Linked DNA regions of Mus musculus. The protein of the gene in region 1 interacts with the protein of each later gene in a biochemical or structural test. Links are inferred from orthologs where the notes say so. Each region holds a gene or a part of one and is shown on either strand. Other genes may lie near its edges.

Region 1 (7,515 bases):
GTGAGGCACTAAAGCAGGCCCTGCCGGGAGTTCTGTCTTAGCCTGAGCCATGACTCTAGCATTAGTCTTATCTTTCTTTTTTTTTACTTTCCAGGTCACAGTCTTGGGCTCAGTGGAAATGGCTGGCTGTGTCCTGGCCACTGCTTCATCCCTAGCCTCAGCCTGGTTCCCCCATTCTTCTTTTGGTTCTGCCTTAACGGCTTTAGTGGTCTGATTCTTGGCTTTTCCTTTAGCATTGGCAGGGCTATTGGTTCCAGGTTTTGAGGAAGCCCCAGACTCTTCTCTAGCTTTCCTTTTAGTTTTAGAGCCAATCATGGTTCGAGAGAAAGGCAAAGCTTAATATAAATATGCCCCTGTCTCAGCCTTGCCCGAAAGTCAGCCCCAAGTAGGTGTTTTCATATAAAGTCCAGTAGTCATTCAGCCCCTTTCCAACTACAGTTTCTGCCAATCATATAGACAGCATGTTGAGGAAGCTCACTCAAGATAAAGGATAGCTGTGCTGGGGCGCAGGCCTGTGGAGGGTGGTGGTCTTCAGCCACTCCAAGGCCATCAGATCTGTCACTGAAGTTGGACCTAGGGGTGGAGGAAGGAAATGGGGCTTTAAGTCTCTTCCAATTTGCTTTCTTCTCATGCTGATAAGCACAGAGACATAGTTAAGTATGGAAATTCAGTGCTCTATGGGGAAGAAGGAGACAAGGAGCCAACTCCTCCTTTCAGTTCACCCACTGTCTATACCTTCATGTGCTACCAATTTGTCTTTGCAGACACCAATAAGGGCAGAAAGAATAGGAAAGCTGGATGGACACGAGAGGCTGCAAAATTCCGAGGCTATCTGCTGACCTAGGCTGGAGCCAACCAAATCTTTACTGTTCCATACTATAGGTCTTACTCGAGGAGTCCCCACGTTCATACTAACCTGCGCTCTTGCCAAGGGATTGTTTCCTCCTTTCTCTGTTTCCACTGGCGACAAGCCCTGCAGCAGATCTGGCAAACCTATAGATAGATAAAGAGGACAGAGAAACTCAGCTCTTGGGATACAGACCTTGGTTCCTGGCCCTTATTCTTGCCTTCTCAGAGAAGCTTGTCTAGCTTTTCCCTTCCTGGTCTTCCTCTCCTTCCATTAACCAGCTTCAAAGCTGTTCCTCCTCCTCTTCCTCCTCCTCCCTTGGGGCCCTCCATTGTCTTCTTGAGTGACTGTTTCGGTAATCCCTTAGTTGAAAAATCGGTTGATAATGAAGTGTTAGAGCAGGACAGGAAAGAGGGGATTAAAGGAAGATGTTCCCATCCTGCATCTATCTCTAGAGTTAGACCAAGACTCCTAAGTGAATCCACAGACCAGCTAGAGGTCATCGAGAAACTGACAAAACAGAAGGGTGTGACATTCTAGTCTCAGTGATCCTTGTCTGTCTTCACACTAATCCTCGAATCTGGACAATTGCCTTCTCATTATCTCCTAGCTTCACATTCAGTTATTTTACAAACATTCACAACAGCCAAGTTATACAACCCTCCGGATGTGTCTATCAATGGAAATCCACAAACATGAGAACAGCACTACTGAGTATAATTTAGGAAACAGTAATTACGGAATAAATGCTTGCTGGATACAGATACTTGTTTGGTAAAGAATTCTCTGATTCCCTTTCTTTTTGTCATCCCCCCATGACACCCCCAAATCTCCACGTTCCTCTGCTATATTCTTAAAGCCTGATCATTTCCATGAAGGGACAACTAAATCATCTCTGCACAGTTGGTCGTACTGGTAGCAGTAGGGATGAAACGCCTGACAATAACAGGAAGCTGGGGAAATAATGAAAAGTATCATTTTCAATTTTCTTACACATTCTTATGATTATCCCCCACCCACCCACACAAACCTATCACATTCTGCAACATAGTTGGGGTAACGCGGAGGGCATTTCTGGAAGGCTGGAAAAGAGGAGATGTAGAAATTATTCTAGAACCCTACCTAGTCTTGCAGCTTTCTCCCACAGTACAGAAATCAGGTCAGTTTTGTTTATCTTCTCCCCTCCCCTTTTGATCTGCCGCCCTGAAACGTGGAGAAATGCAAACTTGGCACAAAATCTATCCACACAAATGAATGTGTGATAGCCCCAAATCAAATGAAATCGCACTGAGTAAGATATGGTTAATTAATGGTCAGATAAGAATGTGCAATCTTCGAATACACCCAACACAAGATTTAATGTTCCCACATCTATAACCCCTTTGTGTATCTCCTTCCTGATTCTCAAGGCTCCTCAGACAACTGCGTTCATCAGTGGTGGTAGTCCTTTCTCTGACAAGTACGCCATCTCCCCAGTAGATGATGCCATTGCATCCATCTCCCTTCCCAAACGTGATGAAGCGAGTTTCTGGAAACGTAGATAGCTTTTTCTCATCCTCCCTAGTCTGTCTTCCCAACACTCGCCCCCTAAAATCAGGTCACCAATCCCGCACCAATCATGGAACCCGCAACCACAACCCCAAGCAATGCCCTCCTTCTTACTGACCTGTTCTGCTTGAATCCAAGGCAGTTTTCTTAGGTGCGTTCTCTCCGGCGGCGCCTTCCCACACAGAAAGGAGGCAGGCAAACGCCGTCGGCAGTCCGCCGCAGGGAGCAGAGGCAATGGCGGCGACTGTAATTTAGGGGCTTGCCGGGAGCTTGGGATGTAGGACAAGATGAAGGGCCATGACTAGCAAATTACTGTCACCTTTCGGTACCCACTCCTCTCTCCGGTCCCTCACGAAGCGACTACATAGCTACCTACATCCGCCGGGACGCACTAGGCGCGGCTACGTCATTACGGAGGCCCGCAGAGGGAGGAGCTAGAGTTATTTAAGGAGTTCCGGCTTAGGGAAGCGGAGTGATACTACTGTGGCGCACACTGCGACACTTAGGTTCTGATCCCGAACTAGGGAAAACCGCGCCAAGCACCCGCAAGCAGGCGATTACCAAATGTCGGTTTTAGCTTCCTTCTTAGACATGTCTTTCCATTTCGAAATGCATGCGGTTTTCACGCTGTGGCGTCAGAAGAAAAAGCGGCCGCCTTACCGGGCGGAAGGATAGCAAAGAATTCTAGTGTTTTTACACGTTCCTCACTAAACCCACCGCCCACTGAAGTGAGCTGGTTAGGTAGGGGAGGGGCTCAAGGTAGAAACGATGCTGGGGGTGGGGCGGTTCTCAACGCTGAAATTACAAATAAAAATTCTCATTTATTCCAACAAATTCTAAACTGTTCCTTCTACAAGCAAAATCCGCCAGTGATGCACCTGTAAGGGCTTGTTTGCATAAAATTCTTGCTGCAGCGGCAGAACCTATGGAAAACTGCTCTGCTGCCAGACCGTTTTTGTTTTGTTTTGTTTTGTTTTTCAATCTCCCTTTTTATGTTTCCTGTTGCCACCCCTTGAAATCTTTTGCTCTTATTGTCCGGCATGTTTCTTGTTTTGAAATAGTTTTAGATAACATGAAGTAAGGATAGAGGAAAAACAGGGAGAAAAAGAACTGTGCAGACGAGTTCTACTCCAGGATGACCTCACTACCATAAGGTGCAGTGGCTTGGATTTAATCTAGGCACTGGGAAAACAAGAATCTTCTTACTGACAAGACATAATACCAAAGTATCTTTGTACCCGTGGACCAACACCAGTCCCTGCTCTGTGGATTTCTCCGGGCTTGTTCCCTCACGTTTCTTGCCCCCTAAATCTCTGACTATATAAGTCCTTGCATCTTGAATGCTGGGCCTCATGTTTGTATTATCTATTTGAACATAAATTTAATTAAAATAAGCCTTAGAATCAGAAAGTGTTTCTAACATGTATACCACTTAGAAATGTCCCAGCCCATCAGTCCTGTATGCCTCAACTCTAAGCTGAGCTATGACATTAGTAGATTATGATGAGAGACATTTTTCCTGTTTCAGGGATGTTTGTAATTTTGAAATTGCCTTAATAAAAGTGCATGGTTTCCCCTCAGTCCCAGTCTACATTATCAGAAAACCTGATAATGTCATGAGGCAGGAGGTTAACTTTTGGAAGGAATAACCAGCCTATAAGGAACAATACTAGGTGGTGATGGTCAGTCCAGACAGACCATCTTCATGACCCAGGACACAAGATGAAAATAGTTTTGGTGGGAGGCTCAATAAAACATAATTGTAAAAAATAGGTGGTAGTGGTCCCTCCAGATGGGCCAGCCCAGGGCCCTAAAAACAGTTAAAGAGAGAGAGATAGAGAGAGGGAGAGAGAAGAGAAGAGAAGAGAAGAGGAGAGAAGGAAAGAAAAGAGAAAAAGGAAGGAAGAAAGAAAGGAAGGAAGGAAGGAAGGAAGAAAGAAAGAAAGAAAGAAAGAAAGAAAGAAAGAGGGACATCTGGGTTCTTTCCAGCTTCTGGCTATTATAAATAAGGCTGGTATTAACTTAGGCAAATGGATGGACTGGAGGGCATCATCCTGAGTAAGGTAACCTAATCACAAAAGAACACACATGATATGCACTCATTGATAAGTGGATATTAGCCCAGAAACTTAGACTATCCAAGATACAATTTGCAAAACACAAGAAAATCAAGAAGAAAGAAGACCAACATGTGGATACTTTATTCCTCCTTAGAATAGGGAACAAAATACCCATGGAAGGAGTTACAGAGACAAGTTCCAAAGCTGAGACGGAAGGAAAGACCATCCAGAGACTGCCCCACCCAGGGATCCATCCCATAAACAACCACCAAACCCAGACACTATTGCATATGCCAGAAAGATTTTGCTGAAAGGACCCTGATATAGCTGTCTCTTGTGAGACTATGATGGGGCCTAGCAAATACAGAAGTGGATGCTCAGAGTCAGCTATTGGATGGAACACAGGGACCCCAATGAATGAGCTAGAAAAAGTACCCAAGGAGCTAAAGGGGTCTGCAACCCTATAGGTGGAACAACAATATGAACTAACCAGTACCCCCCAGAGCTTGTGTCTCTAGTTGGATATGTAGCAGAGGATGGCCTAGCCGGCCATCAATGGGAGGAGAGGCCCTTGGTCTTGCGAAGATCATATGCCCCAGTACAGTACCAGGAATAGTACCAGGAAGCAGGAGTGGGTGGGTAGGGGAGCAGGGTGGGGGGAAGATATAGGGGACTTTTGGGATAGCATTTGAAATGTAAATGAAGAAAATATCTAATAGAAAGAAAGAAAGAAAGAAAGAAAGAAAGAAAGAAAGAAAGAAAGAAAGAAAGAAAGAAAGAGAAAACAGGAAGTAGTGGTCAACTCTGGATAAATCCACTCAAACCATTTTCCAGTTTCAGGGTCTTTTTGGCTACTGGCGCATCGACAGAATGCCATTATCATTTCCCCTAGTAAGCCTTTTAACTTTAATGTATCTTTAAACCCTTAAACATATGCTGCATCTTCAATAGTGTTTGGTGCCAGTTGTTTTCTTGACAAATCCTGATGGGGATATGGGGGGAAAAAAAAGCTTATCCACCCACTGTTGGTGGAAGTGTAAACTGGTAGAACTGGTGAAACCACTATGGAAATCAGCATGGGGGTTTCTTAAAAAGTAAAAATTAGAAGCACTGTGTGACTCACTTATACCATTCCCAAGAACATTCCAAAAGAGCTCCATAATCCACCACAGAGATACTTGCATATCCATGTCCATTGTGGCTGTATTCAGAATAGCTGAGAAATGGAATCAGACCAGATTATATGTCCATGAGTATATAAATGGATAATGAATACACACACACACACACACACACACACACACACACACACACACACACCTTAGTACCAAACATCAGGTACCTTACTATGAGTTGTTGATCAAAGAAGCCTCAGTGGTTTCCAATACACCCAATTTCTATTGCTCTTGGTTATTTCCAGATCAACAACAACAACAACAACAACAACAACAAAATAGGTTCCCATGGCTAAACACATTTCAAACTTTGATATTTTGGTCGCAGATTCCAAAGAAATCAAGCTGACAGCTAGCTGGAAGGGTCCCTACTGCCTGGTTACCTTTCATAGTGCCAAAATAGGATGCTATTTGGGCTACTGGAGAAAGAAAAGCTATGAATGGTCCTAGGAAGCTGTGAACTCTGTGAACTACTTTGTTGGCATGTCAGAAAATATTTACTTAGTGTTGCAATATCAGAATGACAGCTACTTGGAAAGTGAACTGCTTTAATTGTATTTGAAACTAATTTCCCAGGAGGGAAGCCATGCCAAGTACTGGAATACTGGTCAGTACTCCATAGTTAACAAAGTCATGGGTGCAAGGGAGGAAGCTTCTTCTTCTTTTTTTTTTTTTTTTTTTTTTGGTTTTTGAGACAGGGTTTCTCTGTATAGCCCTGGCTGACCTGGAACTCACTCTTTTTTTTTTTAAGATTTATTTATTATATGTAAATACACTGTTGCTGTCTTCAGACACTCCTTACAGAAGATTGTGAGCCACCATGTGGTTGCTGGGATTTGAACTCTGGACCTTCGGAAGAGCAGTCGGGTGCTCTTACCCACTGAGCCATCTCACCAGCCCCATGGGAGGAAGCTTCTATTTCTACTGAGGAAGTTGTCTTGCTAAGTAAACACAATCACACTGATTTATGGGTATGTGTGGATTTGGTTTTGGTTTTGGTTTTAGATAAGTGTCTCACTGTGTAGATCTGGATGGTCTGAAAGTTGATATGTAGACCAGACCTGGCTACAAACTCAGAGCTGGACCTGCCTCTGTAGTGCTTGGAGTAAAGGAATAAACTACCACCTCTTCTCTAAACATTTACATTTATACCCATATGTTAGTGCTTCTCTCATCCTTGTTTAGCCTGGCAATGGTAGCAAACATCTTTAATCCCAGCATCTTGGGAGGCAGGGGCAGGTGGATCTCTGTGAGTTTGAGGCCAGGCTGGTCTACAGAGCAAGTCCAGGACAGCTAAGGCTGTTTGTTACACAGAGAAAGAAAGAAGGGATAGAAGGAGGGAGGGTGGGAGGAAGGAAGGAAGGAAGGAAGGAAGGAAGGAAGGAAGGAAGGGAAAGGAAAGGAAAGGAAAGGAAAGAAAAGAAAAGAAAAGAAAAGAAAAGAAAAGAAAAGAAAAGAAAAGAAAAGAAAAGAAAAGGAAAGAAAAGAAAAGATGAAGAGGCAGCTCTGTTTGCAGTGGGTGACAACATGGAGAGTGGTCAAAGAGCTGAAAATAACTGACAGTTGACCACTCATCTCTAAAGGAATATCTGTATTTCCCTTTCAAGGTTCCAAAGGAACATTGCAAAAATGCTATCAGAAAGAAAATAAGGCTGGTTTTTGAGATAAACTCTTTGAAACACCATCTTCTGTCTTCTGTATGTGGCATGGCTATTTCACCTATGAAGTCATAGCAGCTGTGGTTTCAGACCACTCCATTATAAATAGGCAGAGGCGTTTGGAGTAGCATAGCTGTCTGAGGAACTAACGGTGGTTAATTAGATGCAGTGGGAGAAGGAGTCATTACATTTGGTATTGTAGCCATTACCAACATGCTCATAGTATG
Region 2 (11,230 bases), on another chromosome or scaffold:
TTTGAACCTGGGTCCTCTGGAAGAGCAGGAAGTGCTGCCTACACCTGAGCCGTCTCTCTAACCTAAACCAGCTTTAAAAAAAAAAAAATGGTTTCCTTGGCAGAAGCAGGCAGATTTCTGAGTTTGAGGCCAGCCTGATCTACAAAGTGAGTTCCAGGACAGCCAGGACTATACAGAGAAACCCTGTCTCGAAAAACAAAAACAAAAACAAACCAAACGGGCTGGTGAGATGGCTCAGTGGGTAAGAGCACCCGACTGCTCTTCCGAAGGTCCAGAGTTCAAATCCCAGCAACCACATGGTGGCTCACAACCACCCGTAAGGAGATCTGACTCCCTCTTCTGGAGTGTCTGAAGACAGCTACAATGTACTTACATATAATAAATAAATAAATCTTTAAAAAATTTTAAAAAACAAACAAACCAACCAAACCAAAAAAAAAAAAAAAAAACAAAACAAAACAAAACAAAACAAAAAAAAACCCGAAAAAGTTTCCCTTATCCCTTTGGTTTTGTTATTTGGAAACAAGGTTTCAATTTTGTATCTCTTAGAAGGCAGGATGATCAGAAACTGAAACCCAGTGTGGGCTACTGAGAAAAAAATCTCACTATTATCATTTACACAATCTTACAAAATCCATATGACTGGATCCTGATTTCCCTAAGCAATCTTAATTTCATAAAAACAAGTGTGTGTGTGTGTGTGTGTGTGTGTGTGTGTGTGTGTGCATCTAGAAGCAAAGATGAGAAAGAAATATACACAAATGACTAAGCTTTTTCTCTGCAGTAAGATTATGGGTAATAGCAACCTCTACTGAATGGTCTCCTTTGGTCCTGAAGTAACTATCTAGCTATCTTTAATATAAAAGAAAGCTTCTGATATCGACCTGATAAAGTTCCCCTGTAGCACCCAGCCAGAGCTCCTCCGCGGCTTAGTAAATGGTGACTGAATGAGAGGGGAGCCTTACCCCTCCCCGACAGGGCCAGCTTTACACAGACTGCCTCCGAACAGCTACTGAACGCCTGGAGCTGGTTGGCACCTCATGACTTCCTTACTCTCACCCTGTAAGGGTCTACCACCCTCCCATTCCACAGAGCAGAACACTGAGGCATAGAGAGATAATATATGTATTGCTTAAGCTCACTTAGAAAAATGTCACTAGCCAGGTGTTGGTGGCGCATGCCTTTAATCCCAGCACTTGGGAGGCAGAGGCAGGCAGATTTCTGAGTTCGAGGCCAGCCTGGTCGACACAGTAAGTTCCAGGACAGCCAGGGCTATACAGAGAAACCCTGTCTCAAAAAAAAAAAAAGAAAGAAAGAAAGGAAGGAAGGAAGGAAGGAAGGAAGGAAGAAAGAAAGAAAGAAAGAAAGAAAGAAAGAAAGAAAGAAAGAAAGAAAGAGAAAAGAAAAATGTCACCGTCTGATGATGGCCCCTGTTTGATGCTCATTGTGTAATAGTCACTATGATGGTCACTGTGTGATGGACACAGTGTTATGGCCCCTGTGTGGCTCTAATGTCCAGGTTTGCAGCTGCTGATATCAAATACCGAGGCCTTGAGATTTACCTAGCCCTAGCCTGCTCTCTGTGCATCTCAAGCCTAGCACAGGCCGAGTGGTTAAGGTTTGGGGGCTCAGAAAGACCAGGTCTAAGATGGGCATGGTGGTGTGTGTCTGTAACCCTATTATTTGAACAGTAGATGAGACAGGAAGAGGGGACGTTAACATTCATCCTCAACAATATGGCAAGTTGGGACCAGCCTTGGCTACAGGAGACCCTGTCACAGAACAAAAGCTGAGCTTGCAACGCCTTTGTGGTGAGAGGCACTTGCTGCCTCTGAGCCCATGTTCTAGTCTATGAATGAGAACAGAAGAGCCCACTGTGGGACTCAAGTGCAGGTTGGAGAATCCCTAGACTCCAGAAGAAGCTCAGGAGAGACTCTGTGTCCTTGGCGACTCTTCCCACCGCTGTGTCTGTGACTCACATGCTCCCCGGGGAATGATCCTAAGACCTGGGAAATGGCAGATTCTGGGCAAGACCGGCAGGCCCTGGCCTCAGCTCACTCTCCACTCCTCCCGTTTTGCTTCATCCAAAGTCATTGGGCCAGTTTCTGCCTTCCTGTTAGGGCTAGCAGGCTTGAGTTTCAGAGAGAGGTTAAGGAAGCTGGAGGCAGGGGGTTTGGTTACCTGTCCAGGGCTCCTCCCATCGCCCGGCACTAGCCTCTAATTCCTCAACACTCGCTCCACCCCTTCACCAGACCCATCCTCTTGACCATCATTCTTCATGGATGGCTCTCCTGATGCTCCTGACATTCAAAGCGCCTTGACTTCCCAGCATGGCTGGCCCGAGCTTGGGGCCACGAACCTGTCCAGACTCCAATTTCACATCCAGACTAGCAGCCAGAGCCCCAGCTCATGGTCTGTCCCGACCACCCTGGCCTGTCTCCAAGCCTTCCCCTTAGAGTCTCATTCCTTTCCCCCTGATCGCCCTGTCCCTATGCTCTGTGGCACTCCTCCTACATCTCTCTGCAACTTCTCGGGATTTCTGAACAGCAGAGACTAAGTTGGTAGACTCAGACTGGCTCCAGGCACAACTGAAGCTCAGAACACAGCGGTCGCCTCTGCTTCCCGGCAATCCGGACAACCCTTCCGCCTCTGATGATCCCGACCACTCCAGGGAAAAGGACACCACTTTTATGGTTTTCGTGTCTTTATCCTGTAGCCTCTCTGCCTTCATGGCCACCGAGGCCTCAGGTGAAACCCTCTGCTCCCTTCTAGACCTCTACAGTCTGAGCCGTTCTAGCTGCCTGAGATGCCCCACCCCGCCCTGCCTCTCCATACAGCCAACTGCAGCATCTCAGACACCTCACAGTCCAGGTATCACCTCCTCTGGCTAAATCAAGTCCCTGCTCTGGATTCCACAGCCCTAGGAAGTTGCATTTGATCCTAGAGTCACAACTAACCTTGGGTCCCTAGAGCATGGCTGTTAGGGGCCAGAGGCCACGGGAGGCTTGTGCTCAGAGTCTGGGCGTTAAGGGCTCTCATGCCCAGTGTGGTGGAACACACCTTTAATTTCAGTAGGGGGCGAGGCATGTGGATCTCTATCAGGTGACTTCAAGGCCAGCCTGGTTCTACATCGTGAACACAGTCAAGGCTGTGCCAAAAAAAAAAAGAGAAAGAAACCTGAGGCTGGACAGGTGTGTCGATGATTAACAGCAATTAGTATTGTTATATTTGTTGACTGACAAAACGTGTGCCCTTGCAGGACCAGAGACAGGGCCCACTGTGGAAACTACAGACAACAGGGCCCCAGCTACCCACGCCGCACACCTGCAGCAGCTGCAGCTGTACTGGTTAATCCGGACCCCCAACACACACCAAAGGCCTAGGACGCTTCCCAGTGCCTGCTATTAGGCCATTACCTGCATGCCTCCGTTTAATCTTCCCAACAGACTATTGTGGGGCTTTTGGGGGGAGGTGGGTAATGGGGCTTGGGGAAGTTTGGTTTCTCTGTGTAGCCTTGGTTGTCCTGGAACTCACTCTATAGACCAGGCTGGTCTTGAACTACTCACAGAGATCTGCTTGCCTTTGCCTCCCGAGTGCTGGGATTAAAGGCGTGCACCACCACTGCCTGGCCCCAACAGGCTATTCTAAATCACCGTATATTTTCAAATGAGATAAATGAGGCTTGGGGAAGGTGAGCTGTTTGGCCAAAGCCACATTGTTACAACATGTTGAAGTTGGGATAGAAACAGGGTACCACCTGGCCCACAGCCATGACCTTTACCTCTGCACTCCATCATCTTTATGGAATGTCTTCTGGATGAGAGTCCAGGATCTGAACCCCTAATCTGAGCAAGAGAGGGGACAGAGGCAAGAGACACATGCTGTCTAAACAAGACAGGGTCTTAGTGCTCCCAAATCTCAAAACTCATCTCAGCAGCCCCTGGCGCCTTGGCAGCAAACAGAGAGGAAAGCAAAACCTCTCGTTTGCTTATTGCATATTGTGGAGCCTGCTATGAGCCCTTACCTCGGTCTGGGGTCTGCAGGGGGTGCTTCACTTACATCAGTGCGCCCACAGGTACAGATGGGTTGGAGACATTTTGCTTTGTTAATTTAGGCAGTTCTCAGCCTTGCCTGTCTGGAGGCAAGTACCCTGCCATTTAGCTATACCCCAAGCCCATTATCCTAGTCTGGCCTCAAATTCTCTATGTAACCAAAGCATGACTTTGAACTTCTGAGCCTTCTGCTTCAACACCCCCCAGGACTGGGATTACAGCCGTGGGACCACCATGTCCAGTGTGTAGTGTGCTGGGGACTGAACACTACAAACTAATGTAAGGATTCACACATGCTGCAGAAGCTATCAATTAAGCGTACAGTCTGTGGCCCCTAAAGCCCTTACTAATAATCTCTCTCTCTCTCTCTCTCTCTCTCTCTCTCTCTCTCTCTCTCTCTCCCTCCCTCCCTCCCTCCCTCCCTCCCTCTCTCTCTTCTCTAGCTGGCCTTAAGTTCATTCTGTAGCCCAGGCCTCAAGGAGGATAAATCTGCCCTGAATCATATCCCGAGTTCCTGACCACATGGCCACTGGGGAAGGGAAGAGAGAACCCCATGGCCAGTTCACAGGAACTACGGGGCTCTCCATCAGAGAACACGCAGCACAAAGACTGGTGTTCAAAGTCATCCCGGGTGCCTCCATCACCTATGACCTAGAGGTTTGACAAGAAACAATGCAAATACACTCTCAGTCTCATACAGAATTACAAACTGATGGCTTGGGACAAGCACACACACAGCAACCACAGAAGACCGACTACTAAATGTGACTTGGGGCGTGTCCCCACAGCCCGGAGCAGACAGTCTGTCCCTGTTGTATGCTCCAAAGACCTAAGGTATTTTGTAGAGCACCTCAGCTCACCCTTGCAAGGTTTCAGAGGATCGAACACACACGCTACCGTCAAACTGCCCAATCACAAACTGCGTGCGCGGCAGACACACAAAGTGTTGCCAAACTGTCCCACCTCCATGATGCAGAAGCAAAGAGATGTCAAGGATGATTAAGTGTTATGTAGTTAGGCTAGTGCAAGCACACACACACACACACACACACACACACACACACGCCTTGTCCTCATAATCTCAGAGGACCTGGCCTCTGTGCAGGACATTCAGGAACCCGGGGAGTCAGGGTTGGGTATCCTGGTCTACAAAGAGTAGAGTCCACTCTGACCCTGGGACCAAACCCCGCGACGCCCTCGGCTGACTCACCGGACGATGCCAAACATGACGAGCACGTTGCCCAGAAGCCCCACTGCGCACACAGCCGAGTAGAGCGCGGTGATGGCGATGGCTAGGGCGAGGGACGAGGCACTACGGGCTCCCGGCGACCCCGACGCATTGGCGCCCGCGCTGGGGAAGGCGCTGGGAAAGGCGTCCGAGAGGTTGACGAGGGGCGAGGACTGCAGCTCCGCACGGGCAGAGGGCACCAGCTCCATGGCGCCGCCGTGTCCGTCTCCACCGTGCGCCCTGGGCGCAGGGACCCAGCGAGTGGCGCGCGGAAAACGGAGGCCACGGCCCCGACGCCGCAGGCTGCAGCGCTCGCTCCCGCCTCCTCCGCCCGGTCGACCGCCCGCAGTGCTCGCCCAAGCCCGGGGAGCCCCGAGCCGCCGCGCGCACCACGTGGTCCGGAGGCGGCCGCCAGTCTGCGCCCGCGATCGGGGGCGGGCGCTGCACCACCGGGCTCCGAGCTGGGCCAGAGAGGCCTCGCGCGCGCTCCCTGCCTGGGCTCCGCTGACTCCAGGTGCCCCCAGCCCGGCCCAGCCTCCCGCCCCACCCCCGTGCCACTTCGGAGTCAGAAGAACCTGGATGCGAATCCCGCCTCCCGCCTCTTCACGGACGATGGGAGTAACCTTGAGCGAGCCGCTTAAGCACTCTCAAGTTCATTCTCTGTGACTGCACGATGAAGAAAATCTCCTGCCGCCTTCAGAGGGTTTTGGGGAGATGAAGACAACGGAGTAAAGAACTCAGATTTCCACCACCACCACCACCACCACCACCACCACCACCACCACCCCCGTGTACTGTGTGCGCTCTGCTCCTTGCCGTGTCTTCTAGAACTGCCAAGTGATTCCTGACCAAGAAACAAAAACAAAACCGTCCAGTTCCCCCAAAGGCTCCGGATGAAAACTAGTAATATGATCAGCTACAACCTCAAGGGGAGACACTGGAAATAAGCCCACCTGGGTCTGTACAGCTTGGCACCGGACATGGCAGACATAAGCCGCAATCAAGGTCACTAACCATCTCACTACATCAAGCTGAAAAAGGTCACACCTATCTGGACAGATGTGTGTATGTTATTAGAGACACAACTTTCCTGTCTGGCTCATTGCTCTGAGCTAGCAGGCTGCTTGAGCGATAAATAAAACCACAAACATCCGTTATCAGCCACACTTTCCTGCGCCCAGTTCACTAGCTCCACATTCACTCTGAGGGCGCCTAACAGAAGAGCCAGGTACATCGGTGTGCATAATCAAAGGCCCGGCTCCCAAGAGCTTACAGCTCAGACCGGAAGAGATGCATCGATTCTAAAAAAACACAATGAAGTCCTATTCAAGGAATGTCGGGGCAGGGTAGGGTCAGGAGAATATTCCTAAAAGAAATGACACTTAAGGTGTTGTGTGGATTTAGAGGTGGGGGAGACTAATTTAGGGAAGAAATAGGAAGAGCCTTCTAGAAAAAAGAAAAACATATATAAAGGTCCTACAAGTCAAAAAGACTGAAGACAGCCAGGGTCACAGCAGGGAGCTCCGTGGTGTTTGTGTTGGATTGGTTTGTTTCCCTCCTCCTCGACTAAGCATACCTGGGAAGAGGGAATCTTAACTGAGAAAATGCCCCTTAAGATGTACCGATAGGGGCTGGTGAGATGGCTCAGTGGGTAAGAGCACCCGACTGCTCTTCTGAAGGTCCAGAGTTCAAATCCCAGCAACCACATGGTGGCTCACAACCATCTGTAACAAGATCCGACGCCCTCTTCTGGAGTGTCTGAAGACAGCTACAGTGTACTTACATATAATAAATAAGTAAATCTTTAAAAAAAAAAATGTACCGATAGGCAAGTCTGTGCGCCATTTTCTTGATGGATGATTGATGGGCGGTTCCACCCCTAGGCAGATGATCCTGGGTTGTGTAAAAAAAGCAAGTTGAGCAGACCTGTGAGCAGTGTTCCTCCATGGCTTCTGCTGCAGTTCTTCCTGGAGTTCCTTAGAGGACAGGCTGTGATGTGGAAGTGTAAGCCAAAGAAACTCTTTCCTCCCTAGTTGCTTTTGATCCTGTTTTTCTAATCACAGCAATAGAATCCCTAACTAAGACAAGCAACTTAAGTAGGGCTGGAGAGATGGCTCAGTGGCTAAGAGTACTTGGTGCTCTTGCAAAGGCCGGGAGTTCAGCTCCCAGCACTCATATGGTGGGTGATTCACAACCGTCTGTGCTCTGGTTCTAGGGGCTCTGATGCCCTCTTCTGGCCTCCATGAACACTGCATACACACAGTACAAAGACATTCAAGCAGGTAAACACACATAAAATAAAAATTTAACAACAGCGGGGCATGGCGGCATAAACCTTTAACCCTAGCACTCGGGAGACAGAGACAAGTGGAGCTCTGTGAGTTCAAAGCCAGCCCAGTCTACATAACCAGTTCCAATCCAGCCAGGCCTGCATAGTGAGACCTTGTCTTATAATAATAATAATAATAATAATAATAATAATAATAATAATAATAATAATAATAAACGTAATTAAAAACCAAGGCCACCTTATGGACCAGTTGTGCTGTTAGAATAGCAGATGAAGGGAGGTTGTATGGCTGGCTCTCTCTTCCTATACTCATTCTCCAGCCAAGATCCTGAGCCATCCTTTTCTTTAAGGTCCCCAGCTGTTCCAGAACGTTCTCTCTATCAAGCTGTTGCATGCCTGGGAAGTCTTTGTCTGGTCAGATAGAGAGGGCAAGGATCGAAGAATAAAATCTATCCTAGTCTGATTTGGTTATTGCTTTACTTACAGGGGCAGGGTTACCTACTGGGGTGTGAAAGTCTAAGGTGGTTTCATCACCAAAAAGCCCCACCAACTCATGGATGACAGTTTAGGGGGAAATCCCAGGCAGAACTTGCAGGGATCTCCAACACTGAAAAGTCTCCTCTCCCCAGCAACTTTCTGCTATTCCTGTGACCTGAACCAAGAAGCTCAGAGCCTGTAGTGAGTTTGCTGAGCGTCCTAATGTTTGATTTCTTGTGAGTTCATGAGCCTTCCCACTCAACACCTCCAAGGGTCGGGTTTTTTTGGGGGGGGGTGTTTTTTGTTTTTCTTTCCTTTTTTAAAAAATATTTATTTATTTCATGTATGTTGGTACACTGTAGCTGTTTTCAGACACACCAGGAGAGGGCATCAGATTCCATTACAGATGGTTGTGAGCCACCATGTGGTTGCTGGGAATTGAACTCAGGACCTCTGGAAGAGCAGTCAGTGCTCTTAACCGCTGAGCCATCTCTCCAGCTCCTCCCTCCTTTTTCCTTTTTAAATAAGATCATACTGTACAACCCTGGGACTCACTATGTAGACTAGGTTAGCCTCAAACCTGTGCTGATCCCTTGACTATACTTCGCTCTGGAGTGCTGGAATTACAGACAGGAGCCACCATGCCTGGCTGTCAACAGGATATTTGAAGGAAGAAACAGCTATACTACATGTGGTGGTTGGATAAGAATGGCCCTCATAGGCTCAAATGTTTGAATGCTCAGTCATGAGGGAGTGGCACTACTTGGAAGGATTAGGAGGCATGGCCTTGTTGGAAGAAGTGTATCACTAGGGGTGGGCTCTGAGGTTTTAGTAGCCCAAGTCAGGGGGATAGAGAGATGGCTCAGTGGTTAAGAGCACAGACTGCTCTTCCCGAGATCCTGAGTTCAATTCCCAGCAACCACATGGTGGCTCACAGCTATCTGTAATGGGATCTAATGCCCTTTTCTGGTGTGTCTGAAGACAGCAGCAGTGTACTTACATACAAAAAATAAATATAAATCTTAAGAAGGAGAAGAAGAAGAAGAAGAAGAAGAAGAAGAAGAAGAAGAAGAAGAAGAAGAAGAAGAAGAAGAAGAAGAAGAAGAAGAGGAGGAGGAGGAGGAGGAGGAGGAGGAGGAGGAAGAGGAGGAGGAGGAGGAGGCAGAGGCAGAGGCAGAGTGGCTCTCTCATCCTACTGTCTGCAGATCCAGATGTAGAACTCTGAACTCCCCATGATCATGTCTGTCTGCATGCCACCATGTTTTCCACCATGACAATAATGAACTAAGCCTTTGAACTGTAAATCAGCTCCAAGCACTGTGGTGAGTAATTTATCCATGGATCACCATTTAACATTATACTCTTTTTATTGTCCCACTTTACAGATAAGAAAATTGAGGGTTGGCACTAAATTATCCCATACAGTAGCTATTTTTTTTGAGTTTCTTCTTTTTATTAACGCATACACAACTACTTGTCTTCTGGTTTGTTGAAGCAGTAAGTCAGACAACACTTGCCACAGTAATGCCTGTCAAAGTGGCTTCCCGTAAAAACTCCAGCACCACATTCATCAGAAGGACACTCTCAACGAAGTCGGCTAATTTTGCCATTTTCATCCACCTTATAGTATTTCAGCACAGCCAACTTAACCTTCTTCCTCTTATGCTTATTCTTCTTGGGAGTGGTGTAAGACTTCTTCTTTCTTTTCTTAGCACCACCAAGAAGGCTCAACACAAGATGAAGGGTGGACTCCCTTTGAATGTTGTAGTCAGACAAAGTCCGGCCATCTTCCAGCTGCTTACCAGCAAAGATCAGCCTCTGCTGATCAGGAGGAAGTCCTTCCTTATCCTGGGTCTTGGCCTTTACATTTTCTATAGTGTCCGAGGGTTCAACCTCGAGTGTGATGGTTTTCCCCGTAAGGGTCTTCACAAAGATCTGCATCGTGGCGGCGGCTCCACCCACGATGGCGGATCAGAAAGCACAGTAGCTATTCTTATATGATCTTCTCACCATCTTAAAGAGACCAGGTCTGGCTGATCCTTGAAGCCAGGAGAGGTCTGGTCACACTGGGTGCTTGGAGCATGTCATTTGAAATAATGAAGATTCCCCAGGTGGATTGGAATAAGACCATTATTGGTGCTTCTCAGTTCTGTGCTCTTGGGTAATGACCTGGGTTCTGAGGGTAGGCTGGCAAGGAAAATCCCTCCCGACCCTCCACATGAGTCATTTATCAAGACATTTACTCTTTCCCAGAAAGAACAGAGCCAGCGGCTGGAGAGATGGCTCAGCAGTCAAAAGCCAGGATTGTTCTTGCAAAAGACCCAAATTTGGTTCCTAGCATCCTTGTAGGAAAGTTCACAACTGCCTGTAACTCCAGCCCAGTGGGGATCAGACACCTCTGTCATCCTCCAGCACCTGCACTCCCCTGTGTGAGTGTGTCCTGGTGAGCGTGTTGTGTGTGTGTGTGTGTGTGTGTGTGTGTGTGCACCTGAGAGAGCACACATACATTCACACATATACACACATGCCTGAAAAAGAAACATTTTTTTTAAAAAACACTTCTCATGTCGTTTTAAAAGAACACACCCAGAAGATCCACAAGCTCATTCTCCTTTTCATTCACTCTCCCCGTTCCCACCCAGCGGCCAGCTCAACTCCACCCTCAGCTAGAGAAACCCACCCCCACTCACCTGCACCCCAGGCTTTCCCACTCAGCCATCTGAGGACTTGTGAAACAAGCCTTTTAATGTGATCATATAAGTTGCTAGATGCCACCCCCATCTCGAATGGTCTGAAGTACTCAGAGACTTTAGTGTAAATCAGCTCCAAGCACTGTGGTGAGTATTTTATCCATGGGTCACCATTTAACATTATACTCTTTTTATTGTCCCACTTTACAGATAAGAAAATTGAGGGTTGACACTAAATTATCCCATCCAGTAGCATTCTTTTTTTTTTTTAAGATTTATTTATTTATTATATGTTGGTACACTGTCGCTCTCTTCAGACACACCAGAAGAGGGCATCCAATCTCATTACAGATGGTTGTGAGCCACCGTGTGGTTTCTGGGATTTGAACTCAGGACCTCTGGAAGAACAGTCAGTGCTCTTAACCGCTGAGCCATCTCTCCAGTCCCCAGTAGCATTCTTATATGATCTTCTCACCATCTTAAAGAGACAGAT

The links. The genes of interacting proteins can lie anywhere in the genome.
Region 2: the proteins of Gprasp1 (region 1) and Oprd1 form a complex in vitro, tested with the Homo sapiens proteins (2 studies listed by BioGRID and IntAct). The link is inferred for Mus musculus from reciprocal best matches to the Homo sapiens genes GPRASP1 and OPRD1.

What each region holds. Positions count from the first base shown.
Region 1 is NC_000086.7:135,737,977-135,745,491, reverse strand, and holds the start of Gprasp1 (G-protein coupled receptor-associated sorting protein 1), read right to left. Parts: upstream 2,801-7,515; 5' UTR 2,514-2,800; intron 2,051-2,513; exon of another isoform or gene 1,970-2,050; intron 1,930-1,969; exon of another isoform or gene 1,878-1,929; intron 994-1,877; 5' UTR 917-993; intron 574-916; exon of another isoform or gene 316-573; coding exon of another isoform or gene 1-315. Other genes in the region: Armcx5 (armadillo repeat-containing X-linked protein 5), read right to left, coding at 1-315. UniProt on the Homo sapiens protein: Modulates lysosomal sorting and functional down-regulation of a variety of G-protein coupled receptors. Targets receptors for degradation in lysosomes via its interaction with BECN2.
Region 2 is NC_000070.6:132,138,897-132,150,126, forward strand, and holds the start of Oprd1 (delta-type opioid receptor), read right to left. Parts: upstream 5,591-11,230; 5' UTR 5,490-5,590; coding exon 5,263-5,489; intron 1-5,262. UniProt on the Homo sapiens protein: G-protein coupled receptor that functions as a receptor for endogenous enkephalins and for a subset of other opioids.